2 linked regions of the Callithrix jacchus genome follow. The protein of the gene in region 1 purifies or fractionates together with the protein of each later gene. This does not show direct contact. Links are inferred from orthologs where the notes say so. Each region holds a gene or a part of one and is shown on either strand. Other genes may lie near its edges.

Region 1 (11,872 bases):
TGGGCTCAGGTGATCCTTCCACCTCAGTCTCTCAAAGTGCTGGGATTACAGGCATGAGTCACAGCACCCAGACTGCCTTTGTCCATTTATATTGGGTTGTCTTCTTATTACTGCATGGTAAATGTTCTTTATAAATTCTAGATACATGTTCCTTATATATATGATTTACAACTTTTTCTCCCATTGTGTGGATTATATTTTCACTTATTTGTCTTTTGAAGCACAAAAGTTTTAAATTTTTGTGAAAGCCTCATTTATCAGCCAGGTGTGGTGGCTCACGCCTGCAATCCCAGCACTTTGGGAGGCTGAGGTGGGCAGATTGCCTGAGCTCAGGAGTTCAAGACCAGCCTGGACAACATATTGAAACCCTGTCTCTACTAAAGATACAAAAAATTAGCCAGGTGTGGTGGCACCCACCTGCAATCTCAGCTACTCAGGAGGCTGAGGCAGAAGAACCACTTGAATCTGGGAGGCGGAGGTTGCAGTGAGCTGAGATTGCATCACTGACAGCCTGGGTAACAGAGCAAGGCTCCATGTCAAAAAAAAAAAAAAAAGAAATCAGGTTCGGGGGGGGTGAGGGATAAAAACTACAAATATGACTGGGCGTGATGGCTCATACCTGTAATCCCAGAACTTTGGGAAGCCAAGGCAGGTGGATCACGAGGTCAGGGGTTCGAGACCAGCCTGGCCAACATGGTGAAACCCTGTCTCTACTAAAGTACCATTGCACTCCAGCCTGGGTGACAAGCCGAGACTCTGTCTCAGAAAAAGAAAAAGAAATACTACAAAGAGGGTGCAGTGTATAGTGCTTGGTTAAGGGTGCACTAAAATCTTACAAATCACCGCTAAAGAACTTACTCATGCTAGGCAAGGTGGCTCACGCCTGTAATCCCAACACTTTTGGAGGCCAAGGTGGGCAGATCATTTGAGGTCAGGAGTTTGAGACCAGCCTGGCTAACATGATGAAACCCCATTTCTACTAAGAATACAAAAATTAGCTAGGCATGGTGGTGCATACCTGTAATCCCAGCTATTTGGAAGGCTGAGGCAGGAGAATCACTTGAACCCAGGAGGTGGAGGTTGCGGTGAGCAGAGATCGCGCCACTGCGTGCCAGCTTGGGCAACAGAGCAAGACTCCATATCAAACAAAAACAAAAACAAAAAACTTACTCATGGAACCAAAATAACAAAAACTTACTCATGTAACAAACAAAAAAACCACAACAACTTACCAAAAACTTATTCATGTAACCAAATACCGCTTATACCCCAATAACCTATGGAAAAATAAATAAATATAAACTTTTGAAATCAGGAAGTGTGAGTCCTCCAACTTTTTCTTTTTCAAGATTCTTTGGGTATTGAGTGCCCCTTTTATAAGCGGTTTCCTCATCTGAAAAATGGGAGAATTTCTCTTGGAAATATCTATGATGGCAGGAAAATACAGCAGAGAAAGATAAGTGACCTATCATATATGTGTCTGGAGGCTGTCAAGGAAAGCTTGCTCACATCACATCCCCACCTGGGCTCTGGACCTACCAGAAATCAGCTGGATGAGTCACAGTGAGGTTTTCCACCCTTGCATACCACCTCACACACAGGATGGATTCTGTCTGAGCCTATACTTTGCCTGTTGGCTTGAATTGGATTTGTTTGGTATACAGGTAGTTACACTGGGAATAGACGGTAGGTCCAATTATTCTCAGCAGCAGAGGTTTAGGAATGCATTTCAGTAGTGTCCAGCCATATGGTTAGAGTTTGAGAATAAGGCAAAGGGCTGTCTGACTTCCAACTGCCCAACAGTGTCATTTCCCCCAGCTTGTCACTGGTTCAGTGGCCCCCATCACACAATGAGGATAACAATCGTTGCCTTGCCAACCTCACAGTGGTTATTGTGCCAGGGAACTCTCTCCCAGAGAGCCTTCCCTGACTGTCCCCAGAGTGTGTGGGTTTCTTCTCCTTGCTCCCACAGCTTCCTGTGAATTTGCTTCATTATAGTACCTTTCATTCTGCATTGCCAATGACTGCTTTTCTCTGTGTCTCCTCCAGTCTGTGAGCTCCAGAATGGTAGGAGCTGTATTGGCTGAATCTCAGTGACCTCAGCACTCAGCACCTTGCATAGGGTATGTGCTTGATGCCTGTCTTTGTTAGACTGAACAGAAGTGAAAGTGCTCTGAATGGTGAGGTGTGGTGGTTCACACCTGTAATCCCAGCACTTTGGGAGGTTGAAGCTGGTGGATCTCCTGAGGTCAGGAGTTCGAGACCAGCCTGACCAAGATGATGAAACCCTGTCACTACTAAAAATACAAAATTAGCTAGGCATGGTGGCTCATCCCTGTAATCCCAGCTACTCAGGATGCTGAGGCAGGAGAATCACTTGAACCCAGGAGGCAGAGTTTGCAATGAGCTGAGATTGTGCCACTGCACTCCAGCCTGGGCAGCTGAGTGAGACTCCATCTCAAAACAAAAAAAAATAGTTGGGCATGGTGGTGGGCACCTGTAATCCCAGCTACTCAGAAGGCTGAGGCAGGAGAATCATTTGACACCCGAAGGCAGAGGTCGCAGTAAGCTGAGATGGTGCCATTGCACTCCACCTTAGGCAATGAGAGTGAACTTTTTTTTAGGCTATGACTAAAAAAAAAAAAAAAAAAAAAAAAAAAAAAAAAGTCAGGGCACATGGCTCACGCCTGTAATCCCAACACTTTGGGAGGCCGAGGTGGGTGGATTACGAGATCAGGAGATCAAGACCATCCTGGCCAACATGGTGAAACTATGTCTCTACTAAAATACAAAAATTATCTGTGTGTAATGGCACGTGCCAGTAGTCCCAGCTATTTGGGAGGCTGAGGCAGGAGAATCACTTGAACCCGGGAGGCAGAGGTTACCGTGAGCCGAGATTGAGCCATTACACTCCAGCCTGGGCAGTAAAATGAGACTTAGTCTCAAAAAAAAAAAAAAAAAAAAAGGCAGCCAGGTGTGGTGGCCCATGCCTGTAATCCTAGCACTTTGGAAGCTGAGGCAGCAGGATCTCTTGAAGACAGGAATTCAAGACCAGCCTGGGCAACATAGAAAGACCCCTGTCTCTACAAAAAGTAACAAAATTAGCAGGGTAGGGTAGTGTGTGCCTATAGGCCCAGCTACTCAAAAGGTTGAGGCAGGAGGGTCTCTTGAACACAGGAGTTTGAGGCTGCAGTGAGCGATGATTGCATCATTGCACTCCAGTGTGGGGAGACAGAGACCCTGTCTTTAACAAAAAGAAAGAACAAAAGGAAAATGATGAATATTCACAAAAATGTGAAGAAATTGAAACCCCTGTGAATGTAAAATGCTGCTGCTGCTGTGGAAGACAGTTTGGAGGCTCCTCAAAAAGCCGAACAAGGCTGGACATGGAAGTTCACACCTGTAGTTCCAGCTGCTTGGGAGACTGAGTCGGGAGGATCACTTGAGCCTGGGAGGTAGAGGCTACAGTGAGCCGTGATCACGCCAATGCACTCCAGCCTGGGCAACAGAGTGAGATGCCGTTTCAAACAAAACGAAACCAAACCGCTAAACGTAGCATTATTGTGTAACTCAGCAGTTTCACGTGCACGTATCCGCTCAAGAAAATGGAAAACAAGGACTCGAACAAGTGTTTGAACACCGATGCTCACAGCAGCCGGATTCCCAGTACCAAAAGGTGGTAACAACCCAATTGTTGACAGATGAATGAACAAAATATCATACATACATGCAGTGGGATATTAATCACCCATGAAAAGGAATGAAATTCTAATCCATGCTACAACATGAGTGAACCTTGAAAACTTGATCCTGAGTGAAATAAGAGACACAAAAGCCGGCCAGGTGCAGTGGCTCAAGCCTGTAATCCCAACACTTTGGGAGGCTGAGGCGGGTGGATCACGAGGTCAAGAGATCGAGACCATCCTGGTCAACATGGTGAAACCCCGTCTCTACTAAAAATACAAAAAATTAGCTGGGCATGGTGGCGCGTGCCTATAATCCCAGCTACTCAGGAGACTGAGGCAGGAGAATTGCCTGAACCCAGGAGGTGGAGGTTGCGGTGAGCCGAGATCGTGCCATTGCACTCCAGCCTGGGTAACGAGAGCGAAACTCCGTCTCAAAAAAAAAAAAAAAAGAGAGAGACACAAAAGCCTAATATTGCATGATTCCACTTGTAAGAGGTATCTAAAATGGGCAAATTCATATAGATAGAAAGCAGAACAGAGGTTACCAAGGGATGGGGCAGGAGGGAATGGGGTTATTGCTTAATAGGTGTGGTGTTTCTGTTTGGGATGATGAAAAGTTCTGGAAAGCATGGTATAGTTGCACAATATTGTGAATGTACTTAATTTCACAGCATTGCACTCTTAAAATGGTAAATTTTATGTTATGTATATTTTACAATAAAAATATAAGTGGTTAGATCAATCCTATAATAAAAAGCTTATAAAAAATGAGTAGAAATGGCCAGGCACGGTGGCTCACGCCTGTAATTCCAGCACTTTGGGAGGCCAAAGCGGGCGGATCACTTGAGGTCAGGAGTTTGAGAACAGCCTGGCTAACCTGGTGAAATCCCTGTCTCTACCAAAAAAATACAAAAGTTAGCCGGGTGTGGTGGCGGGCGCCTGTAATCCCAGCCACTTGGGAGGCTGAGGTAGGAGAATCGCTTGAACCAGGGAGGCAGAGGTTGCAGTGAGCTGAGATCGTGCCACTGCACTCCAGCCTGGGCAACATAGTGAGACTTCATCTGGAAAAGAAAAAAAAGAGTAAAAAGTAGAAGGGAATAGAGTGAGAGAAAAGGAAAGAAGGGGTGCGGAAAGTTTGGGGTCTTCAGTGAGTCAGAGATTTGGGATCAGCTGTGTCCCACATAGGGACTGGCACATTGCAGGCACTCAGCTCACATAATGAATGAGAGAATGGTAGGGAAGGAGGGATTTTGAGAATTTGCTATGGTAGCCATTGTATCTCCCAGAATATTCTGGGAGAAATTGAAGTCAAAACTGGAATTCTTAGCTGGGTGCAGTGGCTCATGCCTGTAATCCCAGAACTTTGGGAGGCTGAGGTGGGTGGATCATGAGGTCAGGAGTTTGAGACCAGCCTGGCCAATATGATGAAACCCCGACTCTATTAAAAAATAAAAATAAAAAATTAGGCGGGCACAGTGGCATGTGCCTTTAGTTCCAGCTACTCAGGAGGCTGAGGCAGGAGAATCGCTGGAACTCAGCAGGCAGAGGTTGCAACAAGCCAAGATCACACCACTGCCCTCCAGCCTGGGTGACAGAGGGAGACTCCATCAAAAAGACTGGAATTCTTCTTCTTCTTTTTATATTTTTTTTTTTGTTTTTTGAAACAGAATCCTGCTTTGTCAGCCAGGCTGAGGTTCAGTGGCACAATTTCAGCTCACCACAATCTCTGCATCCCGGGTTAAAGCCATTCTAGTGCCTCAGCCTCCGGAGTAGCTGGGACTACAGACATAAGCCACCAAGCCCGACTAATTTTTGTATTTTCAGTAAAGACGGGGTTTCACCATGTTGGCTAGGCTGGTCTCGAACTCCTCACCTCAAGTGATCCACCGGCCTCAGCCTCCCAAAGTGCTGGGATTACAGGCGTGAGCCACTACGCCAGGCCTGGATTCTTCTTAAATTACTTGCGTTACTAAACTTTACTTCTTTGACTACAACTCGTTGTTGAGGTGTGGCCACACGGGGCCCTGAGCACATAGGTGGGTTCCCATAGGTGAAGCATGTAGGGCGGTAGGGTAAGGGCGCTTAGTTTGCTGGATCAGGTGACAGCTGAACCTTACAGTCAGGAGAGGGAAGCACATTCAGGCCAGCGTGGAGTGGAGGCAAAGGCTGGAGGACAGATGCTGAAGGGTGGGCTACAGTTTTGCCTCTAGGCCAACTGGGTCCCAGGCCTAAGAACTGAAGCGATGGGGATGACCCACACCCAGACCACGGGTCATGGAGGGGTCCGTACATGGCGGGGGGCCCGGGCGCTTTCTCTGCGTCAGAGGGTGTATGGTGGGAGAGGGAAGCCTCCGGAGGTGGCCCGCCGCGGGTCTTGAGCCGGGCCTCTAGCAGAGGGCGCACAAACGAGGCGGTGCTGAGGCCCCCTAGCTGCCGCTCTAGGCAACCTAGTCACAGAGTCGCACCGCTTCCGGCTGTAGAACGGAGAAACGGTGGAAGGAGCCGGAAGTCCGGTGGGCTCCAGGCGTCGCGATGGAGGAGAGCGGGTACGAGTCGGTGCTGTGTGTCAAGCCTGACGTCCACGTCTACCGCATCCCTCCGCGGGCTACCAACCGTGGCTACAGGTGACTCCCCGCCGCCAGATCAGGCTAGCTCCGATTTAACCCTTTCTCCGCCACCCGGACACACCCACTGCGGGAACCGAGGACAGCCCTGGCCAGTGTAGGGGCGAGGGGGAGCTAATGCTGCTGCTGCTTCCAGTTACAGGCCCGAGCAGGGAGGCGAACCCAGAGTTTCGGCCGTCTCAGTACGACGCACGGGACTCCTGGCGGCGGGGAAGGCGTTAAAGCCGTATCTAGTGCTTAGGGAACCCCGGTGGGCTGCCGGGTACCTATTCTGGGTCGGGGGTGGTGGTGTCGTAGACGCTTCTCTTTCGGCGCTAACCGATGGCCTTGAAGGGATCTTTGAAAAGCCTTAAGCGGGGAGGTGCGCTATCACAGTCGGAAATCCCCGAGAGGAGGGGAGAGAGCCCAGGGCCGGCCGAAAGGACTCGTCCAGGGTAGCTTTAAGCTGACGGTCGAAGCCCAGGGCCCCCTTCCTCCTCAGATCCCTTCCCACGAACTTCACCCTTGAACCCAGCCTGGGGCAGCTGGGAAGACCCCATCTACATTCCTCTAATCTCTACCTGAGACGAATAAACACACACGCTTGTAAACATACAGAGAATCTCTGCAAGGGAACACACAGGAAACTGCTCTGGGGAGGAGAACCGCGCCGTTGGAAGGAGACTTCCTTTCCCTTTTGTACTCTTTCCATGTTGTTACCCTTTGTATGCGTTATCTATCAAAACAAGACGAAAAATATTAAAAGAAAAAAGATATACTTCATACAGACAACTTGGCCTATGGCTGTTTTGTGCCGCTGAGTGGTGGTGGGGAGTGCTCGTATGTGCGGGGGCCTGGGTGGCTCTTGAAGGCGATGGTTGTCCAAGTTTTTCGGAAATACAGGATTGGCCCGCACCACATGAATGATGATGGAGCGTCCACATATCCTCTTGTTACTTTCCAGTTGTGTTACCATGGGCTCATAGTTGATTTTATGGTGAAAAGATGTGCTAGTGAACACTACATTCATGAGATATTTTAAAATAGTATTGAAACCAAAATAACAACAGTAACCAGAATACATTTGCTTTCTGTCATCAGACTGCAGATGTACCATGAAACCGTTGATGGTCGTCTACCCTCATCCCCTGTTGGGTCTTCAGTAGGATGAGTTTGGTTCCTCTTGGTGCCCCAGAGAGCAAGGTTACAAATTGTCAGGACTGGCTGGTTTGGCTTAGAGGAAGCTACCAGTGCCTGCGCTTAAGTCTTGGAGCTCTTCTTAGCCTGAATCTCAGGCCTGGTAAGAGGAACTGGAACTGAGTCTGCTGATTTTCTGAATTGACAGTCTGCGTTTGTGCAGCTCTGGAGAACTGGCATAGGGACTTCCAAGAAAAGTCTCCCAGAAACACCTGCAATTCTTGCTATTTGGGGATTTTACTGACCTTTTCTTAGAACTAAAATGTGAAGTTATTTTTTTTTTTTTCTGTCTTGATAGAGTTATAATGAAGTTATTGCTTTAAAAGAGCCAAAACAGGGCCAGGCATGGTGGCTCATGCCTGCGGCACTTAGGGAGGCAGAGGCGGGTGGATCACTAGATCAGGAGTTGGAGACCAGCCTGGCCAACAGGGTGAAACCCTGTCTCTGCTGAAAATACCAAAATTAGCTGGGCGTGGTGGCAGACACCTGTAGACCCAGCTACTCCGGAGGCTGAGGCAGGAGAAGGCTTGAATCTGGGAGGCGGAGGTTGCAGTGAGCTGAGACCATCCCTCAGCACTCCAACCTGGGCAACAGAGCAAGACTCCATCTCAAGAAAAAAAAAAAACTGCCAAAACAGCTGGCTGTGGGGGCTCAGGCCTGTAATCCCAACACTTTGGGAAGCCGAGGTGGGAGGATCCCTTGAGCCCAAGACTTCAGGACCAGCTTGGGCAATATAGTGAGACCCTATCTCTTAATTTTTTTTTTTTTTAATTAGCTGGGTGTGTTGGTACACACCTGTACTCAGGACGGAGGATCTCTTGAGCTCGGGAGGTTGAGGCTTCAGTGAACTGTGGTTGCACCACTGCACTTCAGCCTGGGTGACAGAGTGAGACCCCGTCTCAAACAAATCAGAGCCAAGAGAGGCATTGCTGGCCAGGCTCGGTGGCTCATGCCTGTAATCCCAACACCTTGGGAGGCCGAGGCGGGCAGATCACGAGGTCAGGAGTTTGAGACCAGCCTGGTCAACAAGGTAAAACCTCATCTGTTCTAAAGATACAAAAAATGAGCTGGGTGTGGTGGTACGAGCCTGTAATCCCAGCTACTTGGGAGGCTGAGGCAGGAGAATCGCTTGAACTCAGGAGGTGGAGGTTGCAGTGAGCTGAGATCACACTGTTGCACTCCAGCCTGGGCAACTGGGCATTCCTGTAGGTTCATGGTTTTTCCTGGGTTGCTTCCTAAGCACCCATTCACTTTTCTCACATGTACTGTTCTCCTTTTCTCTTCTTGTGATTGCTCTCCGCTGTCTTTTTCCTTCAAGATAGTTTCACTGGTCTCAAAGGGTCACTCTGACCACTGCAGTCGAGCAATGTCAGAAACAGAAACAGGTGGCTGTGTCTTACGCCTGTAATCCCAGCACTTTGGGAGGCCAAGGCAGGTGGATCATGAGATCAAGAGATCGAGACCATCCTGGCCAACATGGTGAAACTCTACTAAAAATACAAAAATTAGCTGGATGTGGTGGTGCGAGCCTGCAGTCCCAGCTACTTGGGAAGGAGAGGCAGGAGAATTGCTTGAACCCTGGTGGCAGAGGTTGCAGTGAGCTGAGATTATTGTGCCATTGCACTCTAGCCTGGGCAACAGAGCGAGACTGTCTCAAAAAGAAACAGAAACAGAAACAGGTTTCTGCAGCTGCTTCCTCTACAGAAAGGAAACCGGAAGGAAGTCCTATCCGGAGGAGGACTCTGGTCTAGAGAATGGGTCCTCCATCGACAACCTACTGTGTTTTTGTATGGCTCATACCTAAGAATGGTTTTTATATTTTTTCAATGGTTTGGAAAATTTTTAAAGGAGAATATTTCAAACTGAGAACATTATATGAATTTCAGGTTTCAGTGTCTACAATTTGATTGAAATACAGCTGTGCTCAGTAGAAAATATTCATTCAAGATACCTAAAGCATCAACATGTGCATGTACCATATTGCTTTTACAGCAGAGATGCCTTGTGGCAGGCTGTGTTGCCTGAAAAGCCAAAGATATTTACTGTCTGACCCTTTACAGAAAATGTCTGCCAACCCTTGGGCTAGAACAAGTAGCCCTTTCCATCCTCAGCATTGGGGTCATGAAGCAGGAGCCTCTGGCAGAGGTTCAGTGGTGTTTGTCTCTTCAGGGCCGCGGAGTGGCAGCTGGACCAGCCGTCATGGAGTGGCCGGCTGAGGATCACTGCAAAGGGGCAGATGGCCTACATCAAGCTGGAGGACAGGACCTCAGGTAACCGCAAGGGAGGCCGCTCCAAGCTGAGGGATTGCACTCCCACTTTATGAAGGGAGAGTTGGCCTGGTCTGGCCAGGCTGCTCAGGAGTCATGGGAACCTGTCCTGAAAGTCAGAAATGTGTGTATACCTTTAAGCTGTACCATTCCCTCACCTTAGTTGTAGAATGTACTGTCCCCAGGTGTACAAACGAGTATTTCCTGTTAAGCACCAGTTCTTTTTAGGAGTCCTCAGGAAAATGCGGAGGCCAAGGAAAGGAGACTGCAGCTTGGTCTGGGTAGGAAGTAGGAAGCCCTGGAATTGGCCTTGAAGACAGTCGGGGTAAAGATGCACAGCCTCTACCGCTGGGCTCTGCTTCCTACAGAGGAATTGTTTATCAGCGAAGCTCCCAGAGCTGACCACACCCATTCACTGAAGGAGCTGAAAACTGTCCTACTCAGCTCTTTCTGTAGGGAGAGGACAGGCCGAGGTGGGTCATGTTGGGGTCAGCTGGCAGAGATCGTCTTGAGGGAAACTTCACAGGTCCTGGGCCACCAGTGCCTCTGGGTGAGCTGTGGACGGCAATACCTCTGGAGTACCCCTCGCTGCCACCCCGAGTGGGGTCGGACATAGTGCTGGCCCAGTCAGGTGCCACAACGTTCAGTCATTTTTTTTTTAATCTGTAGAGATTTTCCTTTGTAGAGCAGAAGAAAGTGCAAAAGTTTAGAGACAGAACTGGCTGCCTCTTCTCAGAACTATGTTCTGCCGGAGCTGCTGGACATTGGGTGAGCCATGTGACCTCTGGAGCCTTGGCTTCCTTCTTGTTGAAATGAGGATCATGTTAGTTACTCCTTCATAAAATTGTTGGAGATAGGAAGTGAGCAGATACTTATCTGATTGCTTTATGAGCCGCAAGGCAACCCAAAGCATTGATGTGTTCTTTGGGAACTTGCGTTCTGGCGGCAGAGGAGTTTGAAGAGGCAGCTGCCATGGCCAGACCAGAGGATTTTAGCTAGAGAATTGCTGGGATATCCCAGGTAGTGTCATGAGAGAATGGTAACACCTCTTGTTCTCTGGGGAATTTGGGAACTGTGACTTTAACATGACTACCTAATGTAACAGCCACTGCCCAGGGCTTAGCCTGCCCTGTGGGACCCACCCCAAGGTGGTCTTTGCTTAAGGTCATACCTGGATCACGTTAGTCTCTGACCTTCCCATGAGGTAATGAGCATATCACTCTAGGCCAGGCTTTCTCAGCCTCGGCACTGTTGACATTTGGGGCCAGATGGGTCTTTGTTTTGGAGAGCTGTGGAGCCCAATGAGGATATTTAGCAGCACCCCCCAAGTTGTGTCAATCAAAATTATCTCTAAACATTTCTAGATGTCTCTTGGGGACAGGGGAGCAAAATTGCCCCTGCTTGAGAACTGCTGTAGGCTGAAGGTATCTTGGTGAGGTTGGAACAGAAGGCAAATAAATTTGACAAGCTGCAGATTCTAGGGCTGTTGGTTTTGAATCAGTTCAGCCTTGATTACAAAATTACCTCTAGGCAGGGCATGGTAGCTCATGCCTATAATCCCAGCACTTCAGGAGGCCAAGACAGGTGGATTACTTGAGCCCAGGAATTCCAGACCAGCCTGGGCAATATGACAAAACACTGTCTCTAATAAAAATACAAAAATTAGCCAGGCGTGGTGGTGCACACCTGTGATCCCAGCTACTTCAGAGGCTGAGGCACAAGAATCACTTGAACCAAGGAGGTGTATGTTGCAATGAGCTGAGATTTTGCCACTGTACTCCAGCCTGGGTGACAGAGCAAGACTGTTTGAAAAAGAAAACAAAAACCCAAAAAACAAAGTTACCTCTAAACCACAGGACTCAGTAGAAGGTATTTGGTTAAATACCTAAAGCACCAGCCAGGTGTGACTCATGCCTATAATCCTAGGGCTTTGAGAGACCAAAGTGGGAGGATCACTTGAGGCCAGGAGTTAGCAGCCTGGACAACATATCAAGACTCTATCTCTAATAAAATAAATTGAGTGGACATGGTGGTATGTGCCTATATTCCCAGCTACTCGAGAGGCTGAAGCAGGAAGATTACTTGAGCCCAGGGGTCGAGGCTACAGTGAACTATGATC
Region 2 (11,777 bases), on another chromosome or scaffold:
GCTGCAAGGGTGGAATGCACCTACCGATTGGCTCTGCAGCCCCCTAACCTGCCTCTGGCCCCAGTTCGTTTCCTTTGCCCACTAACTGCTGCACAGGAATTCCCAGAATCCTTTGTGTCCCCGGGACCAGACTTGGTGCTGCCCCTTCCTCCCCTCTGCAAACCCCCTTTTGGGAGTTGTCTCCGGCAGTGTCCTTGACGGGATGCTTACTCCCTCATTCTCTCATTTCCCCTTCAGCTCCCTTTCACCATTCACTCAGCTACATCATCCTTATATTAACTCCACCCCATCAGGCATGTGTGCAGACCTCTTGACTACCCCACATTAATGACACCAAAATACATTTGCTTCACCTGCCCCTACTAACCAACCCCTGCCTGCTGCCTCAGTCTTGCAACCTAAAGCTGTAGTCGCCTCCGGTAGCCATCGTGCTGTCCCTGCCTGTGCCAAGATCAGAGGTCCCGAGGGCCCCCTCAGTTGCCTGAGCAGCTACTGGCTTCCAGAGAGCATCTCTGCTCTACCCCTGCCCCTGCCTGCCCTGTGTGCTGGTTTCTTTGGACCCCTAACCCTACTAACCAGCAGGCTCATCTCACCTCCAGGCCTGAAACATTTCTTTTCTTTCTTTTTTCCTCCCCTTATTTTCCCTGGGCCTGGAGCAGCCAAGAATTTCGGGCTGTTTGACTTTCTGTGAGCCCCCAGCGAGGGGAGGCCCAGCCTCCGAGGAGACCAGGAACCCTGCTTCGGCAGCGCCTCAGGGCTTCCCAAGGATGTCCAGCCCCCACACCCACACGTTAACATACTGAGTCACTAAGCTTCTGGGGAGGGCCCAGCTTCACCAGTGCATGGAGACTCTTCTCCTTTCCAGAGAGAATCAGGCCACACAACACATGGCAGGCTGCAGGGGGCCTCTCTAGCTCTCTTTATCTTTCTCACTCTTGCATGCATACATGCCCAGAGACACGCACAGGTGCCTATGCAAGTTCAGTTAAGCCTCGGGGCTGGCCCCTGCCCAAAGGGCTGGACCCTCTCTCCTAATCCTCTCCTAGGTTGTGGGGCTGGTCCCCTGACATCCTTCTTCCCTTGCTGGTAGCTCTCAAAACTCCCACACATCCCTAGCATTTTCGCACCTGGATAAAGCCCGTAAACTGGGTCAAGCTGGACTCAGCAGAGGACTTGCCCCACAACTGACAGGCCATTCCCACCCCACACACAACCTTACCCGTTTTCACATTCATCATGGCACCCCAGTGCAAGGACACAGGAGCCCACAGGCCAGTTGAGGCTGGGCAAGGACACTTCCAGGACTTCCAGACCGAGTGCCAGGTTTTATTTTTCACCTTATTCTCCACTTTAAACAAATCATGGTTTTCTCTTTAAGCCTCTGCTATAAATTCTGGCTCCCCTGGGCTTCCATATTTTTGGGTCTGGGGTGTCAAAAGTGAGATGAGGTCCTTAGCTGTAGGTTTTGAGGTAAACCAAGGTAGGGACATTTTGGCATTCATTCAATTAACAATACTTGTCCAGGTGTGGTGGCTCACGTCTATAATCCCAGCACTCTGGGAGGCTGAGGCAGGCAGATCGCTTGAGGTCAGGAGTTCAAGATCAGCCTGGGCAACATAGTGAAACCCCATCTCTACTAAAATTACAAAAATTGGATGGGTGTTTTGGTGCCTGACTAATCTCAGCTACTCAGGAGGCTGAGGCATGAGAATCGCTTGAACCCAGGAAGTGGAAGTTGCAGTGAGCTGAGATCGCACCACTGCATCTACCCTGGGTGACAGAGTGCGATTCTGCCTCAAAAGCAAACAAACAAAAACAATACTTCTTGGGGTTTTGGTGAGCAGAGGGCTTTGCTGGAAGTGTGACTCAGTCTTGCCTGCCTTCTGGGAACTCTAGATTTTCCTCAACTCCAGTCCATGGCTTCCAGCCACCACAGCAGGGCTGTTTCATGTACTTCTCGCTCTCACTCTGTCTTGTCCAACCCTCTTGAGAATTTCTCCACAATTGCTCGTGCCTGTCAGTATCAGTGCTTCCATCTTTCTGTCTTGGATTCACTTCTCTTTCCTTTCTATTTACTCCCAAAATGGAGTCATTCATCCTGATATCCTCAATTGCTGCTGATATGCTGGTGATTCCCAAATATATAGCTCCAACCCCAACTTCCCCCAGACTTCAGATCTGTATTAGTGTTACCTACTGGACATCTCTGGGCATTTCCATATGGACTCACGTGCCCAACCAAGTATGTTTCTCCTGAATTCCTGTCCTGGTTACCTTCATCACAATCTACATAGGCTCACCAGCTAGAAACATTTATGAGCTTACATTCCTTCTTCCCATATCTTACTCATCAGCACATCATATCCATTTCACTCCAACAATCTTTCTTGAATTTTCCCTCCCTCTCCTCTCTGTCTCTACTTTAATTCACTGGAGCATGGGATTTGGAGTCAGGTTGTTTTGGGTTTGAATTCCAGCTCTACTATTTTTGGTTGTGTGATAGGAGAGTTATTTAACCTCTCTGAGCCTCAGTTCCCTCGTATGTAAAATGATGATAATAATACCTACCTCACAGGGTTGTTGTGAGGATTTAAATTAGATATTGTACGAAAAGTGCCTAGCACAGTGCCTGGCACACAGTAGAGTAGGTGCTCAATAAATGGTAGCTATTATTATTATTATTTTATCATTATTATTTACTCTGGTAGCAGTTTAGGGTATTTTTGGAAGATAAAGCTTTTTGCAGAGGTAGGAGTCTTGAAGCCTTGAGTGCTGGTTCAAAAATTAGAAATGCCAATATTCAGTCATTTAATGACTTCAGGCTGTGACTACGATTTGGAGGAGGTCAGATCTTCATCCAGCCACATCGTGGCATCTGGCTGGAGGCTGTGAAGGACTGTAACATTTGCAACCAGATCTGCCCTTTCTTGCCCTTCCTTCTTCCCATGACAGGTGCAGTCCTGCCCAAGGAAGGCAGCAGTTTCTCTCTGCCCACAGAAAGAGAGGAGCCAACAGATCTTCTTCAGATTCTGCAAGAACCAAGCAAGCCCTTCATGTTTGAGGGTTGGCTCTATCTCCTCAGCTTGGATGTAAAGCTTATGTTTATCAAAGAGGAGATTTCAAATCCCATGTCCAACTAAATTCAACTCTTTTAACATCTTTTGAGCAGCATATATGCCTATCACTAGAAGTCATAACAATCGTATAGCTAAGGAGAACATTGGCCCGTTCATGAAAAGCTTTAGCTGACCTCGAGGAAGAGTGTACAGTCATGGACATATTTGTGAAAAGCTTTAGTTTCTTCCCAAGTAGTCGCCTCCTTCCTCCCCGCTCTTCTCCTTGGGTCTTGAATCCCTTGGAAAAAGCTCATGTCTGGAACAAATGTCTGAGAAAAGCTTGGGAGAATCAGAGGTACAGTTAGAAAGCAGTAAATTCGGCACAAACACTTCTGCCAAGTTGCATTTATTTGTGTGTAAAGTGAGGACAGCCAGTCTTGGAACTCTGGAGACAGAAAAGGCCTACAGCAATCCGAGGTTTAACAGATGTGCTTCTACAAACGGCATTAATATTCCAAAGCTCTCTGAAACAAATAGAAACAGGAAGAAGTGCAGAGACTACAATTCCCAGAGTGCTCAGTGAAAAAAAAATAAGGTGGGTGGAGCGGTGTATGCTGGACTGTGTATTTCTGGTAGGGCCGACTAAGGCCACGCCTATCTCTCCCCCTGAGGCGGGGACGGTTTCTCGAAGGCCGTCGGTAGTTGTGGTTTTGCTAAACGTAGAGCGCTTCAAATCGCTAGCAAGGAGGCACCGAAGCCTGACGGGATTTGTAGTCAGCGCGGGAGGCGGGCGCGCAAGCGCAGCCGGCTCCGGGGCGGGGCCGCGGCACTGCGGTGAAAGCCCAGGCAGCGGGCAGACGAGCAGGGGGCGGGCGGACATCTTGGGATTCCGAGAGTGGCCAGGCCGGCAGAGCATAGGGCCGCGGACACCAGGTGAGCCGGGCATCTGGCCTTATGGGTTGGGGGAGAACGCCGCGGGTCGTCTGTCCCGCCGCCCAGCTTTGCCTGCCCTGCACTGAGCTGGGAGAAAAGCTGCCCACACCCGGGAGTGGCTTCAGCCTTCAGACCCGGGAGCGAGCGGACGGTGGGGCGGGGGCGCCCAGGGCGCGGTTGCAGGGCTGGCGGGGAGCGGCGCCCTCCACCTGACCCGCCTGGCGACTCCCATGAGGGAGACCGCCTGGAATCCTCCCAGAGCAGGAACACTGCGCAGCGCCCCCTCCCTAGGATCCTGCCAGCCCCCTGGCCCTCCGCGCAAGGACAATTTTCCCGTCTCGTAGGACAGTGACACCCCCTTGTGCCGCCGCCTTGCACCGTGACAAGTCTCACACCATGCAGCGCCCCCTCCTCTGAGTTCAGTGACACCCCTTGGCTCTTCCTTAGACCTGTGACAGCCCCCGCACCCCGTGGCACCATTTTTTCCCACGATGCCCTCCCCAAGGCGAAAAGCCCACGACCCCCTCATTACTCTGCAGCGGAATCCCAGACAGGTTCTGTCAGCCCCAGCTTGTTCACCACTGTCAATCTCCCCCTGCCGGCTTTTCCTTCTTAAAGCCTTGACCTTTTCCATATAGGGAACTCTTACCTTTAGGTGCACCCCACCAGCCCAGTTTGCTGCTGTGAGCTCACCTGGGGACTCTGCCTGGCTGTCGCTGCAGGTCTTTCCCCTTAACTAAATGTTCCATTTCTGCCCAAGGCCCCACCTCCGGCTCTCCGGTGCCCTGCGCTACCTACCACCCGGTACCTGTGGACTTGGTTCCTTGCCCCAGGCTCTACCTCCATTTTGCATCTCCTTTCCTAGGCTGTTTGGAACTGAGGCATGGGATGAGTCTACCACCTTGAGAGAGCGCTCACCCCTCTGGAAGACCTTGACAGCCACAGGAAAAGGCCTTATTTTCCAGTTTGGAAAAGTCTGCTAAAGTACTTCCTGTGAAATTAATACCAGGGCTAATCCAGGAAATCTGAAACCAAACTAGCGCCTTTTCTCAAACAATTTAAATTAATTTGACCCAAATAATTTGGATAATTCAGGCATTCTGACATCCCTGGCTCTTGCTTAGAGGTACCCAGGCCAGCAGTGAGTTACTAGATGGGCCTGGATCACGATTTCGGATGGAAGGATTTCTTAATTTTATGAGCTTGCACCACCCCCACCCCCACCGCAGTCCTCATTTTTATTGCATTCCAGAGCTTTTTGAAAGGGGAGCGGTGGTCAGAGGTAACTGTGATAGTAGCTTGGGTGATGGAAGTGTAGTCTGCCAGCACTGGACCTTCCTCCTTTGCCCTTCGCCTGCTTATTCCACTGCCAGGAAGAAGAGGTTAAGCCACACTCGCGGGTCGACAGTAGGGCCTAAGGGCTCCCTTCTCTTCTCCTCCTCACACCCTTTCCTGGAATGTGAGTGCCGGAGGTTCAGGCCCTGCGACCTTCTCTGAAGGGTAGTGGAGCCCTACCCGAGCGACTGGATGCTCTAAAGGTTAGGCCTGGGGGCTCCAGGCCTGAACCAGCTGTCGTAATTCCTATTGCCATTCCTGCAGCGGCAGGCAGGCAGGCCTTAGTGACTCACGGGCTGGAGCCTGAGACTGCACAGGAGGTGGCCGAAAAGGATCATTTCTGAGCTCAGTGCTCAGGAGAGGGGGCGGGGGTTACTGATGCTCAGCCCCAGGAAAGGGAGGGTCAAAATGGCCTTAGAGTCCTGGGCCTAACCTCTCTCCTTTTCTTTCTCCCATCCAGTGTGGAATAAACAGGAACTGGAGCCTGGCTGAGGGGAGGGGCCTGTCTGGGAGGGCTGCAGGGTCACTTGCTAGAGGGTTGAGTCAGGAAAAAGGCTCCAGTGACCTGCACAGCTCCACAGGGGATGTTGGCAGGGGTTCTGAGGCCTTTTACCCGCCCCTGCCTATCCTAGGTCTGTTCTCAGAGCGATGGGCCTCGGAGACTGATCTGCCGCCATGATTGGAGGCTTATTCATCTATAATCACAAGGGGGAGGTGCTCATCTCCCGAGTCTACCGAGATGACATCGGGTGAGTCCCCTGGCCCAGCCAGCTGTGCCCCCCTTCGCCCCCCCTCCAGCCCCAGCATGCAGGATTAGGTCTGTTCCCACCAGAGGCTTGACTTGGGCCACTCCGACTCCTGGCTGCATCCTGGAAGCCCAGCTAGTTAGCCTGGCTCCCATTAGGTCTGGTGGTATTGGCCTGGCAGGCAGCCTGCAGGCCACAAGGTGGGACCTGTGGAATGGCAAGGTCCCACAGCCTGAGGAACTCCTGCCCTTCCTGCATCCCGTTTCTTTAGGCCTGGGTGCTCTGGGTGCTGAAGATGAGTGCTTTTGCCCAGGCTACTTAATTCCTTCCTTGAGGAGGAGGGAGAAGTGCCTCCAGTGGGTGGAGTTAGTGGCCAGGCTGGAGGTCCTAATCCATCTAAGCCTTGCTCTCAGAAGCCCTTCTCATGTCAAGCGCCTTCACTGGATTCTATTGAAAGCCTCTCCAGGCTGCCGAATCCTCTCAGGCTTCCTTTCTCAGGAGGAGTCATGCTGCTGACTCAGCTGTCTTCAGTTCCTCTGGGCCATTCCTGGGGGAGATGCTGGGAGGAAGCGTGAGGCACTCTCCGGGTCATGGAGGGAGGGCAGGGAGGCCATGCTGCCGTCCCTGGCCTATCAGACGGCCATGCTGCCGTCCCTGGCCTATCAGACGGCCATGCTGCCATCCCTGGACGGCTCCATATGCTGGGCCCCTTAGACCTTCTCACAGCCACAGCCTGCCTTCTCATTCTGTGCCCCCTGGACACCCTCGTTCTTTCCGACTGAGGGGACCTAGCTAGCCTTCGAGGCACTAAGGAGATGAGGCTCCTCTGGTTCCTGCTGCCTGTTGTTCTTCCCCAGAGAGCTGGAGATAAAGTCACAGAATGGGCCTGTTGCTGTGCCTCTCACTTGACTCCCTGGGTGTTGGGCTGGCCTGGCCTTTGAGGCTGTTTGTCTGTTGGCTGGTGGAGTGCCATGGGCTAGAGCTGCAGCTATGGCAAGGCCTGGCCTGGCTGAACCTGGCTGGCTACACCCCACCCCAGCCCCTCCTGCCTTGGATGGACTGGGCAAGCCAAGGCTGATCATGCGCCGCCTTGCCTGTCCCGTCTGCCTCTGCCTCACAGTGTGTGCTCCCTCCCGGTGTGTTGTGTGTCTAACCCTCTCTCTCGTTGCTGTCACTCTCCTCTTCTTGCTGGCGTCATTTCTCTCATCCCATCTCATTGGCTGCCGTAGCAATAGGTAAGCGGCCTCTCAAGCTGCTGCCCAGGTACAGGTGGGGGGGCCCTGCCCCCATCATTGTTTTCCTGCATCCTTTTCCATTCCCTGAACTTGCTCTGGAGTTGGATCCTGGCAAGAATGGGTTGCACAGTTCCACAGCCCCTTGGTACCTCTCCCTCCTTCGTGACTTCTGAAGTCATGCTGGCTTTGTCTAACTTCTGGAGGAGCTGGCCTTCCCCACTGCTGGGACACTAGCGGGAGGACTGGAGAAGAAGTGTCTCCTCCTGTCCTGGGCCTGGGAGCTTACGGGGAAGCTAGAGAAAGCTGGGAAACTGGGCCAGCCCTGGGAGTCAGGACTGCCTGTCTCTAAACCTGATGAACTTCACGTTATTAAGGTTACGTCGGCCTTGATACCTGACTTCCCTATTTCTCGGGGGCTGCAGACACCAGCCCCGCTCCGGCCCGCTCCCCATGCCTCCACGGGCAGTCATGAGAAGGGAACCACCCTAGTGGTTTAGGCACTGGTTTTCTTTAGAGCGTGTGTGTCAGACTTCTGCAGTAAGGAGGGTGGGGCTGTTAGCAGCTGTGGTTGGTCCTTGTTGGGTGAGGTTGGCCTGGGTGCTGAGCAGGCCCCATGCGCCCTTTTCCCTCAGGAGGAACGCAGTGGATGCCTTTCGGGTCAATGTTATCCATGCCCGGCAGCAGGTGCGCAGCCCCGTTACCAATATTGCACGCACCAGCTTCTTCCACGTCAAGCGGTCCAACATCTGGCTGGCAGCAGTCACCAAGCAGAATGTCAACGCTGCCATGGTCTTCGAATTCCTCTATAAGATGTGTGATGTGATGGCTGCCTACTTTGGCAAGATCAGCGAGGAAAACATCAAGAACAATTTTGTGCTCATATATGAGCTGCTGGACGGTGAGGCTGCTGGGCTGGCAGGGCGGTGGGCCAGGGTGGGGAAGACACAGGCTGGGCCGGGCCTGAAGCTGGGTGCAGGTCTGAGGCTCTGGTGGACTCTGAACTTTCTGAGTATCTGGTCTCTTGGGCTAGGATCTCTATGCCTCTTAGAAGGCCAATTCACATCTAGACCTGAAGGCTGCTCTGAAGTAGAACACAGAAATAGGCCAGCAGGTGTTTGGTGTTTCGGGGGGCTTGGAACCTGACTCAGGTTTGGTGGCTGAGCCTCCCATATTCATCCTCTTTCCTCTGTGGCTTGGACCTTGGTTCACTGGCTGTCCTCCCGGTTTCCCATCTCGGCAGCTGCTTCAGAGCCTGGGGGAGAGTGAGCTATGACAGGCCCCTTTAGGTGCGCTGTTACCTCTGTTTCTCTGTAGAGTGTGATGGAAGGGCAGGTGAGTCCTTCCCTCTTCCGAATGTCTATTTTCTGGAGAAAACGGCTCGAAGCTTCTTGACTTGCCTCCCGCTGGCCATGCGACTCTTCTGTTGATGTCTCTTTTTTTTTTGAGACAGGGTCTTCTCTTGTCACATATGCTGAGTGCAGTGGTGCAGTCGCAGCTCACTGAAGCCTCAGCCTCCTGAGTAGAGGGGACCATGGGCACATGCCACCGTGCTTGGCTCATTGTGACTATTTTTTGCAGAGCTGGGTCTCACTGTGTTGCCCAGGTTGCTCTTGAACTCCTAGTCTCAAGTGATTCTTCCCCTTTGGCCTCCCAAAGTGTCGGGATTACAGGCATGAGCCACTGTGCCTGGCTTTGATTTCTCTAGTTGAAAAAAATAAAACGTTTAAATTGTTTTCTTATAAAGCGCAAATCAGAATAAATGCTACAGAGCTAGAAGACTTTGTTGAGATGATGCCACAGGGTCTTTGGAAGCTGCGCCAGCCAGACATGCAGGCCCGAGCAGGGACTGGAATGAAGCTTTGACCGGGGGCTGATGGTTCCCTTCTTTTTGCAGAGATTCTAGACTTTGGTTACCCACAGAATTCCGAGACAGGCGCGCTGAAAACCTTCATCACCCAGCAGGGCATCAAGAGTCAGGTACTTGAATTGTGCAAACCATAGTCAGGGTGGAGTCCAATCTCCCTTCATCTCCGCTGGCCCCTGAGCCTTGTCTGAGCTGACTCGTGAGCCCTCCCATGACAGGAAGTGCTGGCCTGAGCCTCCTGCTGTGATTGCAGGCTTAGTTTGCCCTGTGTGGTCCTCCCGCTGCAGGAGCAGCCAATTCAGCATCTCTGTTACCAGGAATACAGCTCCAGCAGTTTCCTTCTGCACTGAGGGGTTGGGGAGGAGGCCTGCTCCTGAGGCCTGGTGTTCCTTGTGGGGAGAGAGCTTGGGCCCTCTCCTAGGATCCAAGCCTCATAGTTTTCTCCTCCTTTTCTGCCTCCCTGGCTGCTTCATGTGGGCACCTCGTTGGCCCTGCGGCCCCCAGCATCAGGTAAGCTGTTCCCTTGGCTTCCACCCATGCGGCTTTGCTTTGCTTTATCCAGGCCCTGCCCTTTGGGGCTCACAGGGGAAAATGGATTACAGGTGTGGACTAGAAGGGAGGGGAATGAGGGTGGAATGGGGATAGGGACAGGAGGAGGGAAGGGAGAGAGGAGTGAGGCTATTGCTGTTTGTCTCTGCCCCCATATAGACAAAAGAAGAGCAGTCACAGATCACCAGCCAGGTGACGGGGCAAATCGGCTGGCGGCGAGAGGGTATCAAGTATCGCCGGAATGAGCTCTTCCTGGACGTGCTGGAGAGTGTGAACCTGCTCATGTCCCCACAAGGTGAGGTCCCTTTCATGATAAAGCAGGAGGAGGCCAGGGCAGGATCCTGGGCCTGCCTGCCTGACTCTGCTGCTCCCCATTTGTCTGTTCATCACCAGGGCAGGTGCTGAGCGCCCATGTGTCGGGCCGGGTGGTGATGAAGAGCTACCTGAGTGGGATGCCTGAATGCAAATTTGGGATGAATGACAAGATCGTCATTGAAAAACAGGGCAAAGGCACAGCTGATGAAACAAGCAAGAGGTACCTGAGGCAGGGAGCTGGCGGGAAGGGGTGTCCTGCGGGCTCAGTGGGGTCTAGTGAACCCAAGTTTCTTCAGAACTTCATTCCCACCATAATTGTAAACTCTCTGTTCCCAGTGGTAAGCCTGGCTATTTGCTCTTGACATTAGTGCTAAGAGAGATGAGAGAATTGTCCTCAGAGAGCAAGCCCCTTTGTTTGGTCCCTAGGACCAAGGTCTCTTCTGTACATACTGACAGCCTCTGTCCTGTGTGCCTGAAACACCCCAGTCCCGAACAGCAGGGCTCTCTGGAGAGAATGAGCTTGCAAGCTTCCCTCTCATCCCAAACTCTGGGGCAGACCTCTATGTCAGAAAGCTGCATTCTAGCAGCTTTTCATAGTCTCTGGTGCTAGCCTGGGGTGGAGTGGTCTGCCAGCCTGTCACCTGTCAGTCTCCTATACCAATAAAACCTCCTCCTCTGCCCCTGCCTATAGCGGGAAGCAATCAATTGCCATTGATGACTGCACCTTCCACCAGTGTGTACGACTCAGCAAGTTTGACTCTGAACGCAGCATCAGCTTCATCCCGCCAGATGGAGAGTTTGAGCTTATGAGGTGCCACTGGGGTGGGAGGAGGCAGCGAGTGCTGCTGGCAGAGATTGAGGAGAGGAAGTACATCAGGCTCTTTGGTGACCTTGCTTCCCATCCCTTAGGTATCGCACAACCAAGGACATCATCCTTCCTTTCCGGGTCATCCCGCTAGTGCGAGAAGTGGGACGCACCAAACTGGAGGTCAAGGTGGTCATCAAGTCCAACTTTAAACCCTCACTGCTGGCTCAGAAGATTGAGGTGAGGACAAGGGGCTCTGGGAGGAGGAAGAACTTGTCCCTAGGCATAAAGGCAGCTGATATCACAGCTTGACAGAGCTCCCTGACAGGTGTGTCACTTCTAGGTGAGGATCCCAACCCCCCTGAACACAAGTGGGGTGCAGGTGATCTGCATGAAGGGGAAGGCCAAGTACAAGGCCAGCGAGAACGCCATCGTATGGAAGTGAGTCTTTCCTTCATTAGGCCACAGCAGGGCTCGAGATGGCAGTGCACCTTCTTGTTTCATCTTTGATCTTCTGCATGAGGGGTAGGGGGAGTGTGCCTGTTTGCTGTTCTAGGAGCCTCGGCTTGTACTGTCAGCCCTTATACCTCTGTGTGAGTATGTACATACACGCCTGCATTGGGGTTCATGCATGTGCTTGTTTTTTAAGATGCTTCAGCGTTTCCCTACTTGCCCCTGTAATATATCTGTGAGGCAGACAGCAGAAGACAGTGTGCCCCAGTGTCTAAGCAGAAACTGCATCCTGTCCTAAAGGAGTAGACCCAAGGCTCCCTAGCAAGTGGTTTTCAGGGCCCTGACCACCTCTCCTTGTCCTGGCACCTCCTGGGTTCTCTCTTTGCTTAAAATGGGCAACTGCCCTTGAAACTCCTCCACACTACAACAGGCTGCCCACTGTCCCTGTGTTCCCAGGATCAAGCGCATGGCAGGTATGAAGGAATC

The links.
Region 2: the proteins of NECAP2 (region 1) and AP2M1 purify together in Homo sapiens (affinity purification with mass spectrometry; 4 studies listed by BioGRID and IntAct, counting the BioPlex papers as one, with this or other methods). This does not show direct contact. The link is inferred for Callithrix jacchus from reciprocal best matches to the Homo sapiens genes NECAP2 and AP2M1.

The regions. Positions count from the first base shown.
Region 1 is NC_133508.1:53,747,438-53,759,309, forward strand, and holds the start of NECAP2 (adaptin ear-binding coat-associated protein 2), read left to right. Parts: upstream 1-6,198; 5' UTR 6,199-6,218; coding exon 6,219-6,310; intron 6,311-9,655; coding exon 9,656-9,756; intron 9,757-11,872. UniProt on the Homo sapiens protein: Involved in endocytosis.
Region 2 is NC_133516.1:13,156,361-13,168,137, forward strand, and holds the start of AP2M1 (AP-2 complex subunit mu), read left to right. Parts: upstream 1-3,884; 5' UTR 3,885-3,989; intron 3,990-5,956; 5' UTR 5,957-5,999; coding exon 6,000-6,073; intron 6,074-7,937; coding exon 7,938-8,203; intron 8,204-9,199; coding exon 9,200-9,282; intron 9,283-9,877; coding exon 9,878-10,013; intron 10,014-10,111; coding exon 10,112-10,253; intron 10,254-10,724; coding exon 10,725-10,844; intron 10,845-10,942; coding exon 10,943-11,078; intron 11,079-11,181; coding exon 11,182-11,279; intron 11,280-11,747; coding exon 11,748-11,777. Other genes in the region: DVL3 (segment polarity protein dishevelled homolog DVL-3), read left to right, coding at 660-691.